Linked DNA regions of Schizosaccharomyces pombe. Changing the gene in region 1 together with any one later gene gives a genetic interaction. Each region holds a gene or a part of one and is shown in the gene's direction. Other genes may lie near its edges. The genes, in order: cdc7, hsp90, gef2 and zfs1.

The links.
Region 2: mutations in cdc7 (region 1) and hsp90 impair growth when combined (synthetic growth defect), as found in Schizosaccharomyces pombe (one study listed by BioGRID).
Region 3: of cdc7 (region 1) and gef2, a mutation in one rescues a mutant of the other (synthetic rescue), as found in Schizosaccharomyces pombe (one study listed by BioGRID).
Region 4: of cdc7 (region 1) and zfs1, a mutation in one rescues a mutant of the other (synthetic rescue), as found in Schizosaccharomyces pombe (one study listed by BioGRID).

The regions. Positions count from the first base shown.
Region 1 is NC_003423.3:3,221,835-3,228,526, reverse strand, and holds cdc7 (serine/threonine protein kinase SIN pathway Cdc7), read left to right. Parts: upstream 1-2,021; 5' UTR 2,022-2,096; coding exon 2,097-2,123; exon of another isoform or gene 2,124-2,175; coding exon 2,176-2,310; exon of another isoform or gene 2,311-2,351; coding exon 2,352-2,381; exon of another isoform or gene 2,382-2,430; coding exon 2,431-2,495; exon of another isoform or gene 2,496-2,542; coding exon 2,543-2,796; intron 2,797-2,846; coding exon 2,847-3,308; intron 3,309-3,348; coding exon 3,349-3,590; intron 3,591-3,658; coding exon 3,659-3,722; intron 3,723-3,759; coding exon 3,760-4,112; intron 4,113-4,153; coding exon 4,154-4,288; intron 4,289-4,324; coding exon 4,325-5,746; 3' UTR 5,747-6,176; downstream 6,177-6,692. Other genes in the region: serine/threonine protein kinase Ppk24, read left to right, coding at 240-1,173, 1,256-1,707; Ras1-Scd pathway protein Ral2, read left to right, coding at 6,346-6,692. UniProt on the Schizosaccharomyces pombe protein: Protein kinase essential for cell division. Plays a key role in initiation of septum formation and cytokinesis.
Region 2 is NC_003424.3:3,888,052-3,892,931, reverse strand, and holds hsp90 (Hsp90 chaperone), read left to right. Parts: upstream 1-1,792; 5' UTR 1,793-2,043; coding exon 2,044-4,158; 3' UTR 4,159-4,374; downstream 4,375-4,880. Other genes in the region: diphthamide biosynthesis protein Dph4, read left to right, coding at 174-387, 427-632; myosin II regulatory light chain Rlc1, read right to left, coding at 4,808-4,880. UniProt on the Schizosaccharomyces pombe protein: Molecular chaperone that promotes the maturation, structural maintenance and proper regulation of specific target proteins involved for instance in cell cycle control and signal transduction. Undergoes a functional cycle that is linked to its ATPase activity.
Region 3 is NC_003424.3:418,020-424,504, forward strand, and holds gef2 (RhoGEF Gef2), read left to right. Parts: upstream 1-1,922; 5' UTR 1,923-2,446; coding exon 2,447-4,868; exon of another isoform or gene 4,869-4,906; coding exon 4,907-5,134; intron 5,135-5,179; coding exon 5,180-5,288; exon of another isoform or gene 5,289-5,337; coding exon 5,338-5,884; 3' UTR 5,885-5,972; downstream 5,973-6,485. Other genes in the region: bun107 (WD repeat-containing protein), read left to right, coding at 1-352; Ctf18 RFC-like complex subunit Dcc1, read right to left, coding at 456-701, 740-1,201, 1,249-1,483, 1,583-1,713; pre9 (proteasome core particle subunit alpha 3), read right to left, coding at 6,458-6,485. UniProt on the Schizosaccharomyces pombe protein: Has a role in the control of cell polarity and cytokinesis. Involved in bipolar growth and septum formation.
Region 4 is NC_003423.3:3,482,314-3,489,330, reverse strand, and holds zfs1 (zinc finger protein), read left to right. Parts: upstream 1-1,884; 5' UTR 1,885-4,662; coding exon 4,663-5,877; 3' UTR 5,878-6,483; downstream 6,484-7,017. Other genes in the region: dynamin family GTPase Msp1, read right to left, coding at 6,722-7,017. UniProt on the Schizosaccharomyces pombe protein: Binds to specific AU-rich elements (ARE) in the 3'-untranslated region of target mRNAs and promotes their degradation. Binds to ARE present in the arz1 mRNA and stimulates the rate of arz1 mRNA decay.

The DNA.
Region 1 (6,692 bases):
CATCGATTTAGGCATTCGTGAGCATATGATTTTGGAAATTTCGTTTCTTTCAAAGACGTTATGATTACAACTATGCAATTTTGAGGTTGCTAACACGTAACTCTTTATCTAAACAGAATAAATGATGAGGTTGTTCTGAAAACACTCTTTTTTTAGTAAGAAAATAAAGAAGAAGTACATAAAAAATCAATCAATTTGAAGTCGTAACTAGGCTTCTTAGCTTCAGCGGCTTGTCACTAATGACTAATTATCCTTTTTTTCGCCAGGGGACAATTTTCGTGGACAATTCAGCAATTCAAAGGAATTCAGAGAATAAGAATAGTCTTTCGATTGAAAATATTTTTGGGAGATTTCCTAAAGAGTTCTTCCAATTTTTTTCAATAAATGTTTCTAAATCAACAACCAAGAAGTCTTCCGTCGTTATAAAGCCAAGTACAATTACTGCACCATGGTTAGAAAATGAATACTTAGACAGTAATACTAGCTTACTTTCCGTTCATTCAATTCAACCTTCGTTTATTGGAATGTCTGACTTCGCAATTGGATTAGATCCTTCACTGAAGCGTATATTACCCGAAATAAGATTTCGCTTAGACTTTCAGCATCTAAAATCAATAGCTAAAGGGGCCACCTCTACAATCAAGGTTGTAACTCACAGAGATAAAATCACCGACGCAAAGATATACTATGCTGCCAAAGTATATCGGAAAACGAAAACATCGCATAAAAAAAGATTGAATACAATGGTTTATTTTTTAAGGGAATGGTCAATCCAACCAAAATTGGACCATCCTAATATTCTGAAAGTTATCTGCCCTTGTGTGACTTTGACAAGCGTATTTAATAAATCCGCTGGGTTTTGTTTGGTTCAAGAGTACTGTCCTCAAGGCGATTTATTTAAGCAAATTGAAGAAAAAGTTTTGACCTTAGAAGACAAATGTTGTTATCTAAAGCAAATTCTTCAAGCAGTAGCTTACTTGCAATCTCAACGTATTGCGCACCGAGATTTAAAGCCGGAAAACATCTTAATCGGAAGGGATGGATTGTTAAAGCTCACCGATTTTGGTACCAGCGAAATTGTGGGTAATCCTGGTGATAACGAATCCATTCGTTTCGTATCGGGTGCTGTTGGAAGTTTGGCATATCTAGCACCAGAAGCATTTCATGAAAATGGTAAGTCTTATGTGTATAAATTGTGTAGCAAGACGAGCTCTATCCTATTTCAAAAACGACGTACTAATAGTTCAATTGATAGAATATTGTGGTCTTTTAGCAGATAGGTGGTCATGTGGTATTTTGCTTAAAGTTCTGTTTACTGGATACTTTCCATTTAAAACTTCCGTGAAAACTGATCTTTACTACTCAAAGTATATGTCAATCCTTACAGATACTTGTGGTATTTCTTCAACTGATGAATCCAGTTTCCAAACCGAAGTCATTAAACAAATACCTACATTGCAGCCCCTCAGATATATACCTGAAGGTGCTAAGAAGATTATACTAAGTTTACTGAATCCTGATTCCCAGAATCGGCCGTCGTTGGATAGTATTTTAGGTACTGCATGGGTACGGAAACTGGATTGTTGCAGTAACTTCTCTACCGATCATGAAAATAAGAGTTTACAGGAAGTTGATTTTGATGCTTCTAAACCCATTACAAGGAAAAGTTTGATTCCTCGGATTCATAACCATCAGACACTTGTTTAACGTAGTTTAAATCACTGTCTTTTCTACTTTACTTTCCAAGCTAAAATGAACTCATTCTTCCTATGTACATGGTGTTTCCACTGACATTACTTAACCAACGGATTAGTTCCATCCTTGCCAATATTTTTTATATGTCTGTATAATACGCTTTTTCTTTTATACGAGAATCTTTGTTTATTAATGATTTTATAAATAGCTTAATTATTACTATTTACTTCTTTTGAGTTTATAACATGCAAGTTCAGGTACCGTACTAAATGTGTATGTACACTATAAAGTCCTTACTTCTTCAAACGCAGCAAATGCTACATCGTAAACAAAACCAAATTGTCTTTTCATTCAAAATTACAAATAAATTCAATTTTTAATTTGTAACTTATTCAATAGTCATGCACAATATCCAAGCATCTTCCATCGTATGCTAGTATTTAATGTTAATAGCCATTGGATTTTCAATAACATATTCAGACTCTTGGGGATTGCTTGGGCAAGGGTGCCTTCGGTGCAGTATACCGTGGTCTAAATATAAAGAATGGAGAAACGGTGGCTGTAAAAAAAGTTAAACTATCCAAAATGCTAAAATCTGATCTTTCCGTCATTAAGGTATGAAGGGATCTCAACTATTTTTCTCTAACAATTTTTAGATGGAGATTGATTTGCTTAAAAATTTGGACGTATGTTACTCATTCGTTTATAATGGTCGCCAAATACTAAACGTGGTAGCATCCAAATATTGTTAAATATAGGGGATCTTATCAGACGAACGATTCTCTATGCATTATTCTGGAGTACGTGATTTTCTTTAAAAAATTGTTTTCAAGTTAACGATATATAGATATTGCGAAAACGGATCGTTGCGCTCAATTTGTAAAAACTTTGGAAAGATTCCAGAAAACCTAGTGGCCTTATATACGTTTCAAGTATTACAAGGGCTACTTTATCTACATAATCAGGGTGTTATCCATCGTGATATTAAGGGTGCCAATATACTTACTACTAAAGATGGCACTATCAAGTTAGCAGATTTCGGGGTTGCGACGAAAATTAATGCTTTAGAGGATCATAGTGTTGTTGGAAGCCCCTATTGGAGTAAGCCTTTTCTAAGCGTATAGTTATAACATTACTAACAATTTATATAGTGGCTCCCGAGGTTATAGAGCTTGTAGGCGCCACAACAGCCTCAGATATTTGGAGTGTTGGCTGCACAGTTATTGAACTGTTAGATGGAAATCCTCCCTATTATGATTTAGATCCTACGTCCGCTCTTTTTCGGATGGTGAAAGATGAACATCCTCCCTTGCCTTCAAATATTTCTTCGGCTGCTAAAAGTTTTTTAATGCAATGTTTCCAAAAGGACCCAAATTTACGAATTAAGACCAGAAAACTTCTTAAACATCCTTGGGTGATAATGAACCAAACCTCCTCTAAATTTTCTGACGCTATAGACGAGGTTCAAAAATATAATGAAAGAGTGAAAGAAAGCACTTTGACAGCTATTATCGAGCCTACTTCCAACAGAATCAATCCGACTCTTCATTCTGGCAGGCAGTCTTCTTATCACATGCCTGAGTCTCCAAAAACACCAATTGCCGAGTCCCCAGGTAGCTTTATGATACTTTTTAACTACTCTAACATTTTTAGATCATGATAACTGGGACAATGAATTTCAAGGAACCCTTAAAATCAGTGACGATGTTTTAAAGAAATCTGAGCATTTTATGGATTTTTGCAGTAACTTTAAAGGAAAAAATAATTCCAGCTCCATAACATCATCCCCTTCGAAGTCTCGCCATGCTTTTAATTCAGATCAAATCTCTGAATCAAACAACTTTAATGCATCACCGTTGAGTACTCCTCTCAAAGCCCAATTTGATCCCTCTAAGGTAAATAATGCAGCTCGATTTTCTAGAGCTTTTAATGATTTTAAATAAATAATTAACCTTTTTTTTAGCCCGCTCTCAACCGGTCAATAGATCATCAAAAAACTCCGCAACATAAAAGATACTTGTCAACTGGTAAGTATCTGATACTAACATATAACTAATTATCTAGAGTTTAAAGAGAATATACCAGACGGAATTGAAAAATTTGTCGAGACACCCAGAGATAGTGAATTTACTGATATTTTCCCTACATCCTCAATCAAAGTTCAAGGATTGAGAAAGGAGACTGGACTGGGGACTTTGGTTTTAAACAAATGTTATGGCTCGTGGAATAATGAAGAAAATGAGGATGGGGAAGAATCGGATATCTTTGACTCTATTGAAACAAACTTAGAAAACTTGGATATTGAAAACAACATTGCTTTAGATAAGAGAACGCATCTAGCTTCCTTACTTTCCAGTCTGTTAGGCTCACTACGTGACAAGAATATCGGATCGAAGGATACAACTGTTTCGCAAATAGTAAGTGCATATTTTTATATTGATAATTTAACTGACAATAGGCTTCTATACTTAGTGAAGATCTTTCTCTAAAACGAGAGATAATACAAGCGCATGGTATCCTTCCACTTTTAGAGACATTGCGCGAAATAAAAACGCCTGATGTTCAATTGCTGTTATTAAAGCTCATTAACACTGTAAGGATATTTAATGCGTGATTTTACTAACGTTAGGTTGCATTCGATGATCACACAACTTTACAAAAAGTTTGCTTTGCTGGAGGTTTACCGCTTATGTTGTCATTCTCTAATCGTGAACACTCTTTTGAGTTTAGATATGAAAGTGCTATCTTTATTCAACAGATGTATAGAACTTCTGCTTTGACATTACAAATGTTTTTGAGCTCAAATGGTCTGAATTCGCTTTTATTATTTATTAAAGAGGACTATGGAACGAACCGTGACTTTGTTTTTGTTGGCGTAGAAGGAATATGGAAATTACTGAGACAACAGGATTACATTCCAAAAAATGATATCTGTACGATGGTTGTAAATGATTCACTAGAGCCCTTGACCAAAGCCATGCTGAAAGCTTTGGCTACTGACGATGATTCTTCAAGAATGTCATTAACACGTATATGTGAAATTTTATTGGCTTTATCTCAGGCTGATAATTATGTTAAGGAATCACTTCTTTGCGAAAGTGCTCTTCGAAGGATATTGCGTATTCTGCTTTATCTGCCGCATTCTGATATGGCGATTACCTTACAGTTTTTCAAGCAACTTTCAATGGTTCCTTCATCTTTGTCGCTTCTTAGGAAAGTTCATATAATACCTCTTTTGACACATATTCTCGGTGACAGCAAAATTGAGAAAGGACGAAAAGAAATTAGAAGCGAAGCTTTGGCCGCTTTATTCAATGTGTGTAAGCTAGATAAGAAATCGCAAGAAGAGGCTGTTATTTCTGGTGCTATTCCATTATTGCAAGAGGTGATTATTAAAGACAGACTGTTTAAGGAGTTTGCGCTGCCGATATTATTAGCTTTGCCACAGGCTGGTCCAGTGTCGAGAATTTATCTTTGGCAAAATAAATGCTTAGATTTTTTTCTCTCGTTATTATCAGATCTTAATTGGCAATCTGCGGTATTTGATACGATCGCATCTTGGTTGCAGTTTGAACTCCGTGAAGTACAACGTGTTTTGGCAGAGAAGAGAAACGTACAATTAGTGTTAAAGGTGTTCTGTATTTCTCAATCAGCTTCCTCAAACAGAATGCTAGATACTTTGGGCAGGGTTTGTCAAATTTCCCCAAGATTGGCAGCCTCTTATGGCCAGCCTATAATATTCCAGAAATTTAAAGAAAAGTTAACTCATAAGGGGACCAAGCCGATTGTGGTCCTAAACATATTTCAAATTATGAAATCAATGTGTGAAGCTAGTAGCCAAAGTGTTGCTTATATTGCGCATTGTGGTTTACCAGATGTGGTTGCAAATTTGAACCAAACAAGTGATTCTGTGCTTGTTAAAGAACTAGCAAAAGACCTGCTGAAATACCTGAAGGTACCACAGGGTCCCATCAATGAGCACAAATCCCCCATTTCGAAACCGCATATGCCTCCACCTAGATGGCAACCAAAGCAGCCATTAACGCAGTGAACACTATTAAACGCATTTCCCAGTGCACGACTATATTACTTGTTTATGATATTTCTGTATTTATGGCTTAATGATTAATAAATAAGGTTGGGATTATGGAATCAATATTTTTTAAACGAAAGTTTTGCTAATTTTAATATTAATATATTATCATTCCATGTGTAAGTACGTTACCAGTTGTGTTTATACCTGAAATACAATCTAATTGAGTACCGCAATGAAGACTATTTATTTACCGAATCTATATTGATGAATCTTAGAAACGTTAAGAGAAAGGTTTATAATATGCTTATCACAGTGTATATTTATATTTATTCATTCAAGTGCTTCGAATTTTAAAATCTAGGTGTGCATAAAAGTTAACTTCACTATATCAGTTAACGCTACGATAGTGCAATACAGGAAGAAATATGCACTAAAACAAAAGGACAACAATGATTTTTATGCTTCTCATTTTTGGCTATTAATTTGCTGCTTTGTTTATTGCATAAATCTTTTTTGACTGTTTGCATTTCAGTAATTATTAATTTTTATGTGGAAGGAAAAATCACTTTTTTGATATTTCTTATTAACGTCGAGTTGCTAAACAGTTTATATCTATGTCAGAAGTAAAAAGGAATATATCTTTGAGAAATTCAACAAACATTTTTACTTCTACATTTAGTTTATCTTCAAATAATGTCCCAAAACCGCTGATTGGGGAGTCAGTTATAAAATATGGAGACGAGGCTTTTGTATATGGAGGACGCGATGCATTAAATGCGCAGCTTGTTAATGATATGTATGTAGTTGATCTTAACACTTGTTCCTGGAAGCAAGTTGAATATCAAGGAAATCAAAAGCCGATACCACGGTATTTCCATTCAGGGGATTTATGGAATAACAAATTAATATTCTTTGGTGGTATGGGATTTAATGATGATACAAAATGTCTTTATGTTCTTAA
Region 2 (4,880 bases), on another chromosome or scaffold:
CGCCTAACCTCAATAATTCTTTAAAAATTTTTAAAGATGTAGCTTTAATTAAACATTTGAGCACATATTGTTTCATCATTGCTCTCCTACATCAAAGTAATGACAAATCAATTGGGCACCCTAACTATGTATATGCATATACCAGCAGAACGACATAAGTGTGCTGTATCCTCATGAACCACTATTCGGTTCTAAACCTCAAAGATGGAAAAACTTACACAGACGATGAAATAAAAGAAGCTTATAGAAAAGCGTTACTACTGTTTCACCCGGATAAGTGTAAAGAAAAGCCCTCTGTGGTGTATACTATTGATCAAGTGAAAGAAGCATATCAAGTCCTTTCAAGTGAAAAAGATCGTCAGCAATATCAAATAAAACAAGAAGAGGGTAATTTTGTTTTGAAGGTTTTTTTATTAATCTAAACAGAAAGCTCGCATTACTACTCTATCGTTGATCTAAGTGAATTTGAAGAACTCGACAACGGCTCCTATTATTATCCTTGCCGATGCGGCGATTTAGGAGGATATGTTGTCACGGAAGACGACCTGGAAAATAACAGAAGTGTCGTCCCATGCATGGGTTGCTCTCTAACTATACAAGTAGATTATGAAATCGCGGAATCCGACTCATGATATCTTTTAAAGGGAGGCCAAGTATTTGTTGAGAGAAGGCAAGGCTAGTCTCTCTTGCTAAGGATTGTATAATAATATAGACTAATTGCAGCTGTAAATAATTTGGAAGTTTCAAAAGAGTCCTTAAATGAACGGTTAATTACCTTTGAAAATTTATGGCGGAGAATCACTTTTGATTTATTTATATACAAAGAATTTATTGCTGAGATATTATTAATAGCCTTTTTACTAAAATTTGAGTACTGTAAAAACTGCTGGAATGTTTCAATAATAATTTGTATTCGATAGGTGACATGGCTGTAGCGAAATTTATGCAAGCGACGCACATACCGAAGTAGTATCGGATGCGTTTCGTCTTGTCAAGTAAGTTTTATGCAAATGCGAAGGATTGGGTGTTTAACGATGTAAACAAATACAGTACAAGTTTATGAAATGGTATTTGCTAAATTCTGTTCGATTTTGAGAAATATTACATATTCTGTTCTTTATTATATATTCTATAAATTTATGTAACAAATGTCTACGGCCATACCTAGGCGAAAACACCAGTTCCCGTCCGATCACTGCAGTTAAGCGTCTGAGGGCCTCGTTAGTACTATGGTTGGAGACAACATGGGAATCCGGGGTGCTGTAGGCCTCTTTTTCGGAACATTATTTTTAATATGTATTCTAATTGCGTGCAAAAGAAATTTGAAGAAATATCACTCACTTGGAATTTATGAAGTTCCCATCATCTAGATAAGATACAGTTAAACACTTTAAATGATCGATCTCGTTTAGCTAACCTAAAAACGGTCGGTTATGAACAGTGAACGTTAGCGAGATGCCGATTTTATCACCCTTCAACGATGCTTAACGAAAAAACCTTTCGCTACAGTAAAACCTTATGAGCTTATCACAGTGTAAGGATGTTTCCGAATATTGGTTGTTCGTAATTTTACGCAATACACTATCTTCCCTCTAGCATCTTCTAGATACACTTTAGTGAGAAATTTTTTTTCTCACCCCAACCTTCTATCGCAATCCAAATACCACACTTCGTTGCATCCGCACTATTCTTTGAGTTCCATGTCCTTCCACCAAAAACCAGGGTTAGGGTTTTGGAATGTTCGAGTTGCTTTGTTTACAGAATATAAACCACCATACACGTACCCTCCGCCATCTAGCTCTCAAGTTATTTATAACCCATTTCCCACTAAGTTCCTTTGTTGAACGCTTAAAAGATTGTTCATACGTTTGAACATATTTAAAATCACGTTATAGCTGAGAAGAAAACCCCTTTTCAAGTAATAAAAGTATATTTAATTACTTATTTTACCCTTTATATTACGAACTGTACGACTTAACCGGTTTTATCTATAAATTCCTTCATTTTTCTTTGTTTTCGTTTTCAATTTGATTTCATTACAAAATGTCGAACACAGAAACTTTCAAGTTTGAGGCTGAAATCAGCCAGTTGATGTCTTTAATCATCAACACTGTTTATTCTAACAAGGAAATTTTCCTTCGTGAGCTTATTTCCAACGCTTCCGATGCCTTGGACAAAATTCGTTATCAAAGCCTTTCCGATCCTCATGCCTTAGACGCTGAGAAGGATCTTTTCATTCGCATTACTCCTGACAAGGAGAACAAAATCCTTAGCATTCGCGATACCGGTATTGGTATGACCAAGAATGACCTTATCAACAACCTTGGTGTTATCGCCAAGTCTGGTACTAAGCAGTTTATGGAAGCTGCTGCTTCTGGTGCTGATATCTCCATGATTGGTCAATTCGGTGTTGGTTTCTACTCTGCATACTTGGTTGCCGACAAGGTCCAAGTCGTAAGTAAGCATAATGACGATGAGCAATACATCTGGGAATCCTCTGCTGGTGGTAGCTTCACCGTCACTTTGGACACCGATGGACCTCGCTTGTTACGTGGTACCGAGATTCGTCTCTTCATGAAAGAAGACCAACTTCAATACCTCGAGGAAAAGACTATCAAAGATACCGTCAAGAAACATAGTGAGTTCATCTCTTACCCCATTCAATTAGTTGTTACCCGTGAGGTTGAGAAGGAGGTCCCTGAAGAAGAAGAGACCGAAGAAGTTAAGAATGAAGAAGACGATAAGGCTCCTAAGATTGAGGAGGTTGATGATGAATCTGAGAAGAAGGAGAAGAAGACCAAGAAGGTCAAGGAGACCACCACTGAGACTGAGGAGTTGAACAAGACCAAGCCCATTTGGACTCGCAACCCCAGTGAAGTTACCAAGGAAGAGTATGCCTCTTTCTACAAGTCTTTGACTAACGACTGGGAAGACCATTTGGCCGTCAAGCACTTCAGCGTTGAAGGTCAATTGGAATTCCGTGCCATTCTTTTCGTCCCCCGCCGCGCTCCTATGGACCTTTTTGAGGCCAAGCGTAAGAAGAACAACATCAAGCTCTATGTTCGCCGTGTTTTCATTACCGACGACTGTGAAGAGTTGATTCCTGAATGGTTGGGTTTCATTAAGGGTGTTGTTGATTCTGAGGACTTGCCCTTGAACTTGTCTCGTGAGATGCTTCAACAAAACAAGATCATGAAGGTTATTCGTAAGAACCTTGTCCGTCGTTGTCTTGATATGTTCAACGAGATTGCCGAGGACAAGGAGAACTTCAAGACTTTCTACGATGCTTTCAGCAAGAATTTGAAGCTTGGTATCCATGAGGATGCTGCTAACCGCCCTGCTTTAGCCAAGCTTTTGCGTTACAACTCCCTTAACTCCCCTGATGATCTTATCAGTCTTGAGGACTACATCACTAAGATGCCCGAACATCAAAAGAACATTTATTTCATCACTGGTGAATCTAAGCAAGCCGTTGAGAACTCTCCCTTCTTGGAAATCTTCCGTGCCAAGAAGTTTGATGTTCTCTTCATGGTTGACCCCATTGATGAGTACGCTGTCACTCAACTCAAGGAATTCGAGGGCAAGAAATTGGTTAACATTACTAAGGATGGTCTTGAGTTGGAAGAGACTGACGAGGAGAAGGCTGCTCGCGAGAAGCTCGAAAAAGAGTATGAGGAGTTTGCTAAGCAACTTAAGACCATTTTGGGTGACAAGGTTGAAAAGGTTGTTGTTTCTAACAAGATTGTTGGTTCTCCTTGCTTGTTAACTACCGGTCAATATGGTTGGTCTGCTAACATGGAACGTATCATGAAGGCTCAAGCCCTTCGTGATACTTCTATGAGTGCCTATATGTCTAGCCGCAAGACTTTTGAGATTAACCCCAAGTCTCCCATCATTGCTGAGCTCAAGAAGAAGGTTGAGGAGAATGGTGCCGAAGACCGCTCTGTGAAGGATCTTGCTACTATTTTGTATGAGACCGCCTTGTTGTCCTCTGGTTTCACTCTTGATGACCCTAGTGCTTATGCTCAACGTATCAACCGTCTTATTTCTCTTGGTCTTAGCATTGACGAAGAGGAGGAGGCTCCTATTGAGGAAATTTCTACCGAATCCGTCGCTGCTGAAAACAATGCTGAGAGCAAGATGGAGGAAGTCGATTAAATCAAATGCATCTAATGTGTCTTTCCAAAATTTATGCATATAATGTTTTTCTTGGATTAAAGCAAGTTATCCTATACATTGTTAACGATTCTAGTGTCTGTTGTCATTCAAAAATTTCTTTCTACACGATTTTTCTTAATACACACTAGATTACAGGTTGTTTGGAAGTTGTTATAATATGGAATGTTGATTAGTAATATTAAAGTTTATGGATACTTATTAGTACATCAAATTTTGTTTTCGAATAATGTAGTTTATACTACTAACAAGTACAAGTTGGTGCTTAAAAGTTATTTTTTTCTAGTCATGTGAGAGCTGTTTTACAAGGTAGGATAATTTTGATGAGGAACATAGGTATGCTGGGCTAATATAGATTTATTCATACATTAATTGAACCCTCGAATGAAAATATGGTTAATGACATTAAGCCTAAGCTCTAACTCACTAAACACTGCAAATAATAGTAAAGTCGCAGAGAGTAGCTAAGTATTGAGACACATAAAGTATAGGTCACAACGAACATAAATGTATCAAATGCTTTCATAAAAAGTTAAAAGAGAAGAGGAAAATTCGTCTAAGGGAAATGGCTCAGGTTAAAAAGATAAAGTATTAGAGGGAAGAATGTGAAACATATCTGGCTGCTCTTAACTCAATTGCTATCTTTTGACCCAGCAATAGCATCAACGAATTTCTCGTAATAGAATACACCATGACTGGTGTAC
Region 3 (6,485 bases), on another chromosome or scaffold:
GTTATTAAACGAATTTCCTTCTAAAACTGCCCCTACTGTTAATTTTACTCTTCAGCCTTTTCCTGGAAGTGGTTTACCGCTTATTGTAAATGAAAACACTCGTTTAAGTGCTAGTGCTATGCTTCGTGCTCAGAAAATTATGGATTATAGCTATAGCAAGCTTAGCCAACAAAGAAAGGATGTATCATCCCTTCAATTTAGATGCAAAGATGTCGTCGTTACCCCCAAAATGACATTGGCAACTGTTAAGGCTCGAATTTGGCGATCTGGAGACGACGTTGTCTTTCATTATGATGTTGCTCCTAGATCTGTTTCAGAAATTGTTGATAAAACCCAGAGTCTTAATATTTAAAACTTAAGTTTGATTAAAATTTTAATTGATTTCATAATCCTGTCGAAAATAATGTACAATAAAATCAAGTTTTCAACCTGTATAGTACCGGCCAAATAAGGTTTTACCATGTCCCTCTAGAATTAATGTAAACACCGTCCCTACTGGTTTGTTTTCGCCCATATTTCAATATAAGAGCTTCAACTCTTGATTTCGACAAGGCAAGATCTTTAACGAAACTCCAAAGTTCTTCATATAACCATTTCGACTTAAGTTGAAACAAAGATTGAAACCGCCTACTTGGTTCTCTCGGTAACTGATCTCCTGATAAATACTGAATCGTATTTGGGGTATCGTGAAAATAATAACCCTAAAGAGTTTTAGCATTAGCTGACTAAAATGCCCTACCTTTAATAAATTCAAAGAAGGAAGTCCTTTACAAGGATACGGAAGACGATTATCCCATAACTGAATGAACTCATCGGAGCTTATACTGTTGATGCCTTCTAACAAAAATCGCCCATACCAAAAAGTCGTCAACTCTAAATCGATATTGAATTTTTTAGGTAAGACATTGTCCTTAATGGGTGAAGAGATACTTTCAAGAACACAAATTACTGAATCCCAATCAAATTCGTCATCCATAGCTGGCTTTTTTAAAATCTTAAACTCAAAACTTGCAAAGTCTATGTGTAACTGTTGGGCTATAACAAATATCCAGTCAATAATTGAACATATGTAAGAAGGTGATAATCGGTACAAGAATTCATTCTTTACCATGAAAAAGTTTTTCTGCAAGAATGAATCGACTTCATTTCTGCTAGCAGGAACAGATCGTATAAATTGATCTTTTGTAAGTGAAATGGGCTTCTGTTGAGACTGTTAGTGAAAGGCTAACTATTCAATAAAATGCATACCAATTCCACAGAATCTTCGTCCCAATAAGAAATTTTGTCGTCTGAAAAAATAAACCCATAAATCCGTTCAACTTCTAAAAATGAATAACATGTGTCATTTAATACCCAGTCGGTAGGACTGAGCTCATCAAAAAGCAAATACGAGTTTGATTGAACCACTTGACGCACAGCATACGTTTTATCTGAAGTACAGAGTACTGAAGCCTTTTTATCAAAATCTGATTTAAAGACAATCCTATTATCGATGTTAGATCATAAGTTGTCAAATAGCGATATAAAAAATAAAAAAGTAATGATTCAACTTCAGGTTATTTATACACAAGGAAACACATACTCTTCTTCAGGATTTTCTTCCAGAGTCTTTAATAAATCGTCGTCTAGTTCCAACAATAAATATTCAGAAGAAATATCAGAGCTTGGATGAGGGTATTTTAATAAAATGCATCTTTCTTCATTCGCTTCCATTTAATGTCTCTTTTTTTGTCTATTAAGTAATTCCCGATCTCAATAAATGACAGATTTGACTTTGGGTTGCTATTTTACTTTATTGTTAGAAAACAAGAAAATGATCACTAAAAGATTAAATTAATAATATGGTAAAAGACTAGCAGCTGTAGCGGATTTTCGCTGCAGAAAATTACCATATGTCCTATCGGTGAATGGAGAAATGGAGTAAAACTACCTAATTCAAACAACCACATCGGAGAAGCAGGTTCGGAAGCTTCAAGTGAGATTAGGATATAGTCCCTGAATTGGGTCTATTCCTTTTTCTTTTGTAGCTGTATAACTGGAAGTACTTTCACTAATAAACATTGAATTGAGATTTCTTATAATCATTAATAATTTTTGAGTTGCATAAAAACAATTTCTATCAAGTTCCGTTCTATCGATCTTTTGTAAAAAGTCTTGAAGGTTTAATTTATTTAATAATTCTTTTTCTTGGGAACCATTGCTTCTTTGCTTAAAACTTTTCTTCAGCTTTGCTTGACTGGTCAATATACTATTTGTTTTACTGTTTAAGGGATTTTGCTACCTCTATTTCTTTTCTTTCTACAAGTTTTACAGGTTATCAAGCCATCACATTTAACTGCGGTTGTTGAAAAAAAGCTTACTTGTTTACGTATATTTGGCGAAGTTAAGTTTCATATTTTTGTCTACGCGATTGACCTTTATCTTACTTTTTTCATTTATTTTTACCATGGACGTCGGCACGATGGGTTCGCGTGCTGAACTGTTAGCAATTAGCATTCAATTTGGAGGTCTATGGGTTTTTAGGGATCTGTTACAAATGAATCCTTTGTTTGAGCAAGATCATGTATTTTGTACCTTCAATCATCCAAATATGGGTTTGGTATTGATTTCATTTGCCAAAGTTGATGGTCATATTTTAGCAGCTTATGCTTTATCGAAATTGGGACCTGACACGTTTTCTATATGTTACCCTTTCTCTTCGAAGTTGGATGCTTTTGCGCAAACTTTGGACCTAGAATGGCAAATTGCTAGTATGCATAAGGAAGCTGCTGCATGCGTATATGAGTTTCTTTGCGTGGAATCTGTATGTTTACATACAGGCGAAAATTGGCGAGAGTCAGTCATTGAACCTGAGTATGCTTCCTATATTTTTGATACAATAAACGTTTTCCAGTCATCTTCTCTCACTCGTGAGCTTTATTCTCTTGGCGAGCCGAATGGTGTACGCGAATTCGTGGTAGATGCTATTTTTGACATAAAGGTTGATAACTCTTGGTGGGAAGACCCTTCTAACTCTTATTGGAAAACCGTTATAGGAAGTAGGGAAATGTTTGAGGATTCACGAAAAAAGACTTCAAGTCCGAGTCCGAGTTTTGCGTCTAGTAAAGATGCCGGAACCATACCTGCAATTCAAAAAAAAAAGAGTTTACTCATTGAGATGATGGAAACAGAGAGCACATATGTTGAGAGACTACGCCATTTAGTTAATGATTATGCACTCCCTTTACGGGATTTGGCCAAGTCTTCGAAAAAATTGCTGGGACTTTATGAATTAAACACCCTATTTCCGCCTTGTCTTAACAAATTAATTCAGCTCAATTCTGCTTTTCTTGACGAGTTTGAGGCAATCATGAGTGATTTAAATTTTGAAGATATAGACGAAAAAAAGTTTGAAGAAATTGATCTTCGATTAGCTTGTTGTTTTGAATCTCATTTTTTCGCTTTTTCACAACATTATCCTCGTTACCTTGAGCAAAGTAATGATTTTGGTAATGTTTTAAAGATGGCTTCAAAAATACCCAAATTTGTTGAATTCCATGACCAGGTAAAGCTTAACGCAAACATGAATGTGGGTTTGAGTCAGCTTATTATGGAACCAGTTCAAAGGATTCCACGATATTCACTATTTTTAGATCAGATTATATTATTGACACAAGAAGGAGAATGTCAACATACATACGTGCGCTCAGTTGAGATTATAAAAAATATTGCAGAAATGCCTACAGTTGATGCCGAAGAACGATCAAGGATTTTTGCTGGCTTACAACATATAATTCCTGACTTAGCACCAAACATGATATCTAACTCTCGAAATTTCATAGATTGTATTGACGTGACTAGGGAGTTTCTAAAAAACGGGCAACTGCATTTAATACCTTATACTCTAATTTTATTCAATGATCGAATTTGTCTTGTTCAAAGACGCTCCAAATCAAGTATTGCCTCAACTATATTGGATCTTCGTAAGCAAAATCCTCGCAATTCTTATTCCAAAGAAAAGCGTGCTCAATATATCGGTTCAAATATGAATGAAGCGGTTGAGTTGACAAGAAGTATGGTTGAGGAGAATACTATTTTTTTAATTTCCAAGTATGCATCTTCTCCTTCATTTTTTAATGAGTATCCTATTTTGAAGTTTCGTTGCGATTTTGAAAATGTAAGAACTATGGATAGGTTTTATCAGTCTTTTCAAAAAGCACTTTCAATGAACAAAAGCCAGCCTTCCTGCCTTAGTTTTTCAAAACTCAATGACTTTGTGGTTTTTTTTAATAACTATTCACGATTTGAGTATGAGAAAGAATCAAAACGCTCAGACATAGTATGCATATGCACCAATGATGCCAACGTTGATAAGCATAAATTTTTGCAAGACGGTAATATTGTCATTACTTTTTTTCAACAAGACGAAGATTTTCATTTAAGTTTCGATTCCTGGTTAGGTGTCAGTTTGCCTACTGAAGCTGTTATAGCTAAGGAAGACCTTAGGGAGGCTTGTCTTAATTATCTTATTAATATAAAAAGGCTTCTCCTATGCCCTTTTTCAAATAGAAATTTCTCAAGCTTGGATCTATACTCAAACCTTATACAGCATTTGCTTTCTGCTAATTCCAGCCCACGAAAAAGTAGGTTATCATTTGGAGGAAGGCCCGGAAGCCCTTCTAAAATCAGTTTATCATTGAACAGGTTTTATAATCAAGGCGGTTTATCAAAATCTTGTGCTACACTTCCTTCGCAAATGTACAATTTGGACCATAATAATATTTCACAAAAATCATTGAAGTTTAATACTCATAATACTTCGAAGGCTTCTGCTGAGAAAACTGTCGAACATCTTGAAGCTTTCAAAGGCGGATTTAAATATCATACAGGTAATATTGCAATTTGGATCATAACGTTAACTGAGCAGATTTAAAGAATTTACTATATCCACTGTCTGAAAAGGAGAAGATTGAGGGGGATGAGCTGTACGATAATATTTTGAAGGAAACTTTTAATGAAGAATTACTCTCTCATTACCCACCAAATATTATTTATGCGACCTTTCAAAAATATTTGAGCTCCTTTATCAATCGAAAATTTGGAGTTTTGCTTTCTTCTTCATTCATACAACAGTTAAATACTGTTGAAAATTTAAGTATGTATCGCTATCAAATTTGATTTTTTTTAACTAACATTGAAGATCTATCTTTCAATTCAACTGATGCAGTTTATCATTTGAAAAAAATCTTACAAGACTTACCCGAGAGTAGCCTAAAGATCCTTGAGAACATTTTTTCTATTGCTTCCGAGTAAGTCACCAAGCTTGTTTTTCAGAGGTTTTATTATCTAACGTCGTAGTTTGCTTTTGAGACTTCCTCTTAAAGATCAATGTGATTTTGTTACGAAACAACTAGCAATTGCCTTGGCTCCTTCCATGTTTGGAAGTAATGCTGTAGAACTTGTTTATTACCTTGCATACCACAGTGATCGCATTTTTGGAACAGTAGAGGAATTGCCGACTCCGGTTTCCCCTGCGAATTCCAATAATGATAAACAGTTAGATGAATCGAAATTCCAAGCAATTGCCATGAAAGAAATGCCGGAAAGACACCCTAAGGAAATTTTACCTGGTCAAATAGAACGAGAGGCATACGAGGATTTACGACGCAAATATCATCTGACTCTTGCAAGGTTGGCTCAAATGACTCGATTAAATGAAGATTCTAAAAAGTCTATCCCTCTGTTGTATGATCGCTTCAACCATGATCTTAAGCTTATAAAGCAATCAGTTCAAGCCAGTTTAATTAGAAAACAATGTGAACTAGATACCGCAAAGTGGACTCTTGAAGAGTATGAATCCAAGCTAAACGCTAAGGAAGGTTGTCAAACCAACATATTTATATAGCCAACTAGTCTATACTACATCGATTATTAGATTATTTGTTTTACTATTCCTTTTTTAGATATCAATAGTTATTTTTTTTATCCTTCAATATGTAAGTGAAAGTTAATAATACTCATCAAAAAGTTTTCTCTTATTTTTATAAATAGTATAGAATTGGAATATGCTACACCGTTTAAAATCTTCAGTTATGAAAACTAAGCATATAGTTTAGAACATATGAGAGTCATTGACATTCCATTGGAAATACTATAATTTTAAATATGCCGGAATGGTGTACTCAAGTAGAAATTGACGTTATGAAGGGAATGAGAAAGAAAGGTCTAAGTATAAAAGAAACTTGAAAAAAGCCTTTTTTAAAACGGCATAAGAATTCATAAGATAATGATTTAGCGTAGATAAAAAGAAAGCAAGCCTATATTGAGACGGAATAAGGCTCATGATGGAACTTAGTTTGCTTCAAATTGTTTACAAAAACCATGAGCTAATTACAAGGAGATTAAAGGGTAACGACGAAAGCTATAAAAAACAGCTATACACTTAAAGTGTTTTCCCAATGAATTGAGTAAGGCAATATTAAGATTGCCGCTGGGTCTCTTGGTAC
Region 4 (7,017 bases), 260 kb from region 1:
AATCAGATACCAAACTGCGTAGCTTACAGTATAATAAATAACAGATTATTCCGTTACACAACACATTATTGACTAAACTTCCGTATATGAATTGAGTGTACGTTTTCACCATCATCAGTCAGTTCATTCGGTCGATACGCATGTGGCATGAATTTACCAGTTTTACGTGTTTCGTACAATGACAATTTGTGATTGCCGGTTTTGATGAATTCATCATGATACGATGGATTTGCTTCACTAGCAACGCCTATATGTTTAAAATGAAGACACTTAGGTCTAGAAATCTCTGTTTTTCTGTTTTCTGTTAAATCATTTTACCGAGAATAAAGGGGTATGTATGATGGATGGGGTACTTTCAATTCTTTGCTTTTCCTCGACCCACTGTAACCCAAGCAACATGCTAAAGAAAGCGAATCGGCCGTTTTCTCGATTTGAGTAGTATTATCATTGTTATTATAATTTGATATTTTAATATTGTTTTACTAGCAAGATCAACTTCCCTTTGTTCTTTTACATAGCGCAATTCCTCCTAGCTGAACACCTGACCGACCCCTTAACCCCTCCTCGTTCTCCCTTTGCCAAAATAAAAAAAAATAAAAAAAATAAAGAAAATATCAATAAATAATTTAATAAAAATTTTTTTTAAACAAAAATAGTTTTGAAACCCAAAATTAGGTAGACTATCTTTTGTATCATGCCGTAATTCGTATTCTCCGTCGTGTTTGCCAAAATTCAATCATCACTCAGATACTGTCAATAATAGCTTTTATATTTCAAATTATTCATCAATTTCATTTGTACTTTATTCATTTATTCCATTTTTCAACTTTTATTTAGATATCCTTACTCTTGTCTTTTTTACGTTTGTTTATGTCTTTTTGATGGATGGTTCTTGCAACTCGTTTTGCCATCTCCATCTCCCGCTGCTACTCTAAGCAAAAGCATTGCCGATGCATAACAACGCCTTCCGTAATTTTTATTAGTCCTCCGTATGACCACATTTGTCTGTAGTAAAAATGAGCTGTCCAGTCGAGAACTCCAGCTTCGTATGCATGCTTCCGGATCCTATCGTGCTCAAAGACCATCCCGCTATCTTACTTTACAATGTAGATTTGAACACGCCCCAGTGTGGAGGTAAACTTTCTGGGCCTTTTGAGCAATGGTAAGTACGTGTCTTCCGTTCATTATCCCAATCAGCTACAATTTATCGCCAATACTCTCCAATGAATGGAAGAACAATTACCAAACAAACACTGGGGATTGTGCCCACAGTAGATTGCGTGTAGAAGGGATAACAAACATGCTATTGCCATGCATGCATCTACACCAAGGAAATTAGAAAAAAATTTGTTCAAAAACGAAAAACTATTCTTTTTGATAATATGTGTAAAAATAAAATAAAATAAAATAAAATAAAATAAAATAAAATAAAATACCAATACATTTTGTTTCATATAGAATATAGAACTGCTCATAAATTAAAAAATAGCCTGCATCAAAAAAATTTATTCCAATTCCCTCGTCTTTACCTAAAACAACTAATACTGTACTACTTTTTTTAAATCGCATTCCTTTAGAGCACGCACTTTTCGAACCAATACACCGCCATTCTATGCAATGCTTCCCCTTTCCCTATTGTAATTCTACCGATAATTTTATTCTCGGAGTTGTTTTATGACTTTCTAATTTACTTTGTAAATTTTTCTTTTTTTGAAAGCTCCTCCATCTGTCCTTGCTCACGTTTGCCATCTTTCCATTTCAACACTGTAGTGTACTGCGCCACAACATCCGCACTGAGTGTCTTTTGCACATACCACTGATTTTACCGACATTCCCCACTTTTAAACAACTTGTAAGCACAGGGCTTGTTGAGTCCATCAACTTGCTCTTTCGACATCTTCTAGGTCGTTGACTTTACGTAGTATAAAGTGGCATTGATGCTCGAACACAATTAACTAATCTTAACACATTGATAATTGGTTTCTTTGTGTTTTAAACAAAAAAAAATTTCATCTCTTTTGTTGTCCCATATATATATTGATTGCGTGTAACCTTGAAATAACCTCAATTTCTGTACCGGGGTCGTTGCGTATCGAAACACTATTGTTATCGTCCTAGCATATTTGGATACTGTGTACTACACTATTGTCGTGCTCTCTTTTACTTTACTTTACTCACTTTTCCTTCCTTCTTGCCCGACACGACATTGAAACTGCTGGCTTCCTAGCCTTGCTCCTCCTTTTCGACCGGACCTGCTACGTGCTGTAAATTGATTAATCGTATACAATTGTGGTTTTTGACAATTTTCTTTTATTCTGTCGATTTTCTCTTTTTCTCTTATCACGACTTTCTGCTTCTCTTCTACAATATTTTGCTAATCGGCTTGTGTTGTATCAACAGCAAAGCTAAGTGACTTGACATTACTAGAATTCTTCCTTTCCTTCAAAAACACGTGCAAGTTTGTTCCATTTTAATATCTACGTTTCCTTCCTTGATTGCACTATTTCATCATTAGAGGGAACCACTTTTCTATATTACCAAGCACCTACTTATTTGGGATTTATTTATTTTTATTTCCTACGGCTAACTCGATTACGATTAGTGCGCGGCTTTTTCTCTTTGGAAAAATTTTTCTTGTTGGAACGGTTGTCAATCGCGTGCTATATTGCTTTCCTTCTTACCCGTTTACAATTTAGCTTTCCCTTTTCTCCTTTTGCAATTTTTTTTGGGTTTTTTTTAAAACGTACACACGCACTGTGTATTCCATCTAGCCATCAATCCTTCATTTTTTTTCCACCGATTAATCCTTTTCTATATATACCGGAATTTTCCGTCTTTTCTTTTTCGGACACTTTTACGAGCTGTTGCGAATTTCGTTATTCTTAGTTTGTGTTATTTGCTTTTAGCCGCCCTTTTTCTTCTTCTCTGCATCAACATAACAGGTCAGGGACCAGACAGGACAGGACGAAACAACAACGTAATCGTTCAACCAACTTCTATTACCATCGACCTCTAACTTACCGACTTACCACCACAACACTTTCCTCCAGAATAGTTGAAAGCCTTTTGACTTTGCTGAATCTTTCTTTGTGTGTCCGTGTGTGTGTCTGTTTTTTTCAAATTCATCACTGTTTGAATATCGGCATCTCATCCTTTTTCTCAATTTCTCAATTTCTTGCCTGAGATACCGTTTGTTCTTTCCGTTGAATACTTTTTTTCTGCAGTGTGAAAAAATTCCGTTTTACGTTGACAAAACATTTATCTCGGATTGAAAGTTGTTTTCGTAGCTGTTTGTTTTAGTCTATTCCTTTCAACCGGTTTTCTTGTCTCTGTTAGATTTGTTTTCTCTTCTTCATTCTGAGTCAAGCTCTGGGTTTTTTTCTTTGTTGGAAAACCATTCTCTTTTCAATTTTATTTCTCTTTTCTGATATCGAAGCAAAAGAGCTCCTAAACGCTCTCAATTACTGTTTAACGTAACAGATATATTAACATCTTAGTATATTTGCGTTTTATTTGTTGAAACTTTCGCATATCCCCTTAAAGCTTTTTGTGGCAATCCTTATCTGATATTGATTTATTCTTTTGATTCGCCATTTCTTTCGACGTTTTTAAAGTACTCTAAAAGAGAAATTATTTAAAATACTTTAAATTGGGCTCTGTTCTTTTCTCCATCCCACTTTTGTATCTTTGCAGCAATAGTCGGTTTGGTTGATAATCCCTATATTTCTTTGGACAAGATATTATCTTTTGCTGAAAAAACACCCCATCTTTCGATTTTGAAATTTTTTTTTCTGTTTCAATTTCTTATTTCTTTCTACTGATTACTCTCCTCATCAATTCTCACTCTTTTTTCATTTCAAATCTCGCTTTTATCCTATATCAGTGATAAAACTCCTGTTTGATGCTCACCTTGCACATTGGCACTAACTTTAACGTTTTCCCTTTATATCCGCAAATTCCCTTTTTTTTGTGCTTCGTATATTAAAAGCGTTCCCTTATTAGGTTTTTTTATACATTAAGGATTTACGATTAGTCTCATTTTGTTGTGTTTTGAGATTTGTGTTTTATGTTCATCTGTTGTATTCACTTACTTCAGAGAAAAAAAAGGCGTTTTTGTTCTTTTGGTTTAAATTTTATTCCCTAAAATTTGCATTCAACTCGGATTTTTTCTTTGTTTGACGACTGTTTTTTGAAAAGGATTGCTTTGGGTCACAAACACAATACATCCATCTATTAAACTTTTGTCTTCTATACTTTTACTTCCTTCTCAAAATCTTTCCTTATATCATTGTGTGGTTTCTCTCCGTTTTCTTGTATCTTTTCTGTTCGACTTCTGAAAAAACAGCGTCTCTATACTATTGATTTTCATCTTAAATTTGCGTGTTTTCTTTTTAACTCTACGTTTCTCTCGTTTTTCTGCATATTACTTTCGGTGATTACCCTGTAATTCTATTTTGAAGGTTGACGTTTTTTTCAAGTTCCTGATTCCATAATTCTATTTAACACAAGTTTTTTACTGGAATTTTTTAAGTTATTCTGCGCAACCTTTTTTTGATTCATTTTACAACTTCTTTGTTCGTTTATAACTAATCTTCTATTGTATCACTTTTTTCTAGTGAACTTCATTAATTTATTGCGTGTCTGTTTTTTATTCTTTTAACCATGGTTTATTCTCCTATGTCTCGACCTCAAGTACCTCTGGCTTTTCGCCAATGGCCCCCCTACAATTATAAGAGTGATCCCCTTGTCAACTCAAAACTATCTCAGTCTACTACGTCTGTTAATGCAGGACCCAGTTTAATAAGTCCATCATTCCTTGACTCCTACGCCAACTCCTCATCTTTACTTCACAAGCCATCTACAAATTTGGGCAGTTTAAAGACATCTAGTCTTCTCGCCTCTGATGAAGTTTTCCCTTCTTCAGTCATGCCCCAGCTTCGTCCATTGGATTCAAGTTTATCTGTTTCTCCTGAAATGGACGGTTGGCCATGGCATCACAATTCTTCTTCTAACCCACAGGGATACGCATGGACACCTTCATTACTTTCTTCCAACGCTACTAGCTATTTACATTCTGGTAGTTCTCCTCATGGAAACACAAGCAATCATCCTTCACCTATATCATCCTTGGAGAGTCTTCCTTCTCGTAGTAGCACTGGTAGTGGTAGTCTTGATTTTTCCGGCCTTGCCAATCTCCACGATGATTCCAAATCACTGGCCATGTCTTTGAACATGGCTGGCGTCCCTGTATCCGTCGATGAGAACTCTCAAACTTCGTTTCCTTTTGTTCATGGTCAACCGGAATCTACCATGTCTAGAAAACCTAAGCTGTGCGTTCAATCGAAATCAATGACAAACATCCGCAACTCTGTTGCTAAACCGTCGTTAGTTAGACAATCGCATTCAGCGGGGGTTATTCCCATCAAGCCTACAGCATCGAATGCCTCAATTCGCAATGCTCCTTCCAATTTATCAAAGCAATTTTCACCTTCGGGTAATAGTCCTCTTACTGAGGCTTCCAAACCTTTCGTTCCTCAACCATCAGCTGCAGGAGATTTTCGCCAAGCTAAGGGTTCAGCTAGCCATCCTCATGGTTCTGGCAGTAGTAATGGGGTAGCTCCCAACGGCAAGCGCGCATTATATAAGACCGAGCCTTGCAAGAATTGGCAAATTAGTGGAACTTGCCGTTATGGCTCTAAATGTCAATTTGCGCATGGCAACCAGGAACTGAAAGAACCTCCTCGTCACCCAAAATACAAAAGCGAGCGTTGCCGATCTTTCATGATGTATGGTTATTGTCCTTACGGATTGCGATGCTGCTTTTTGCATGATGAATCCAATGCTCAAAAAAGTGCAACTATTAAGCAATCTCCTTGATATCACATCAGCTTGTATAAGATGACTTTTGTTCTTTGTTGTTATGCAATCTGGGTGAGATTAATTTATTATGACGCTTACTTTCCTATCCTCCTTGGTTTTCTTATACGGTTATTATTTATATTGTTCTTCTGTAACATTATGTGAGCTTTTCTTTTGCAATCGCCTTTACCTTGTTTTTATTTATGGTTTTATCGCAAGGTTTGAGTTTGCCAGTCATGTTCACACTTTATTCTTTATTTATTTGATGACCTTATTGGTCAAGATAGAATTTATAAGAGAAAAAAATTAAAGAAGATCATGAGTTAGTTACTCTGTCATATGTCAGGGTACTGTTTTTATTTTTGCAAATCATGTACCTTTAGCTTTTTGCAGAATGGCGATTTAAAGAGTTATGAGAAGATTGGACAATATATATTTATAGTATTAAATTCGAATCTTGTTTACTTCGTCTAGCAATGCGATACGCATGAATCGGGGTTTTATTAGATTTGTGTGGTATCTGTAATATACTGTTATAATTCGAATCAAGGGAGTTTCTTAAAATACCCAATCTTATTACGAAAATGATTTATGCAATCAGGGAGATTTGATGAGCGAAGCCTATGTATTATTTGAATAACAGTAACGTTACTGCAAAAATTTAAGTAGTTATTTGAATGTTGTGCACTTTTCATAAACATAGATTTGCAATATGCATCAAAAATTTGTAACGCAATTCTGTACTGCTTACAAACAATTTTATTCACGAGAAAACTACCAGGCTATACATAGTAACACATACAAGCATTTTTGGAAAGTTAGTTAAAAAAATTCATTAAACTCGGACTACTTTACTCGTTATTTAATCGCTATCGGCTTGCTGTTCCAAGATAACTAATGAATTGATCTTCTGCAGAGCCAATTCCAAACATTGCCGCTTATGCTGCAACTGTAGCTGTGACTTGAGACGAGGATTTTCATTGACAAATGCATTCAACTGTTCAGAACTCAAAGAATGGATGAGACGCTGATCCAGTTCACGTGGAAATTGGTAATAAAACTCAGAAAGCAGCTCAATATTAATAAATAAAACTGCGGTATTAACCAGTTTATCAGAAACGGCATTTAAAAAAATTTCAGGACAGGTGTACTTCGCTT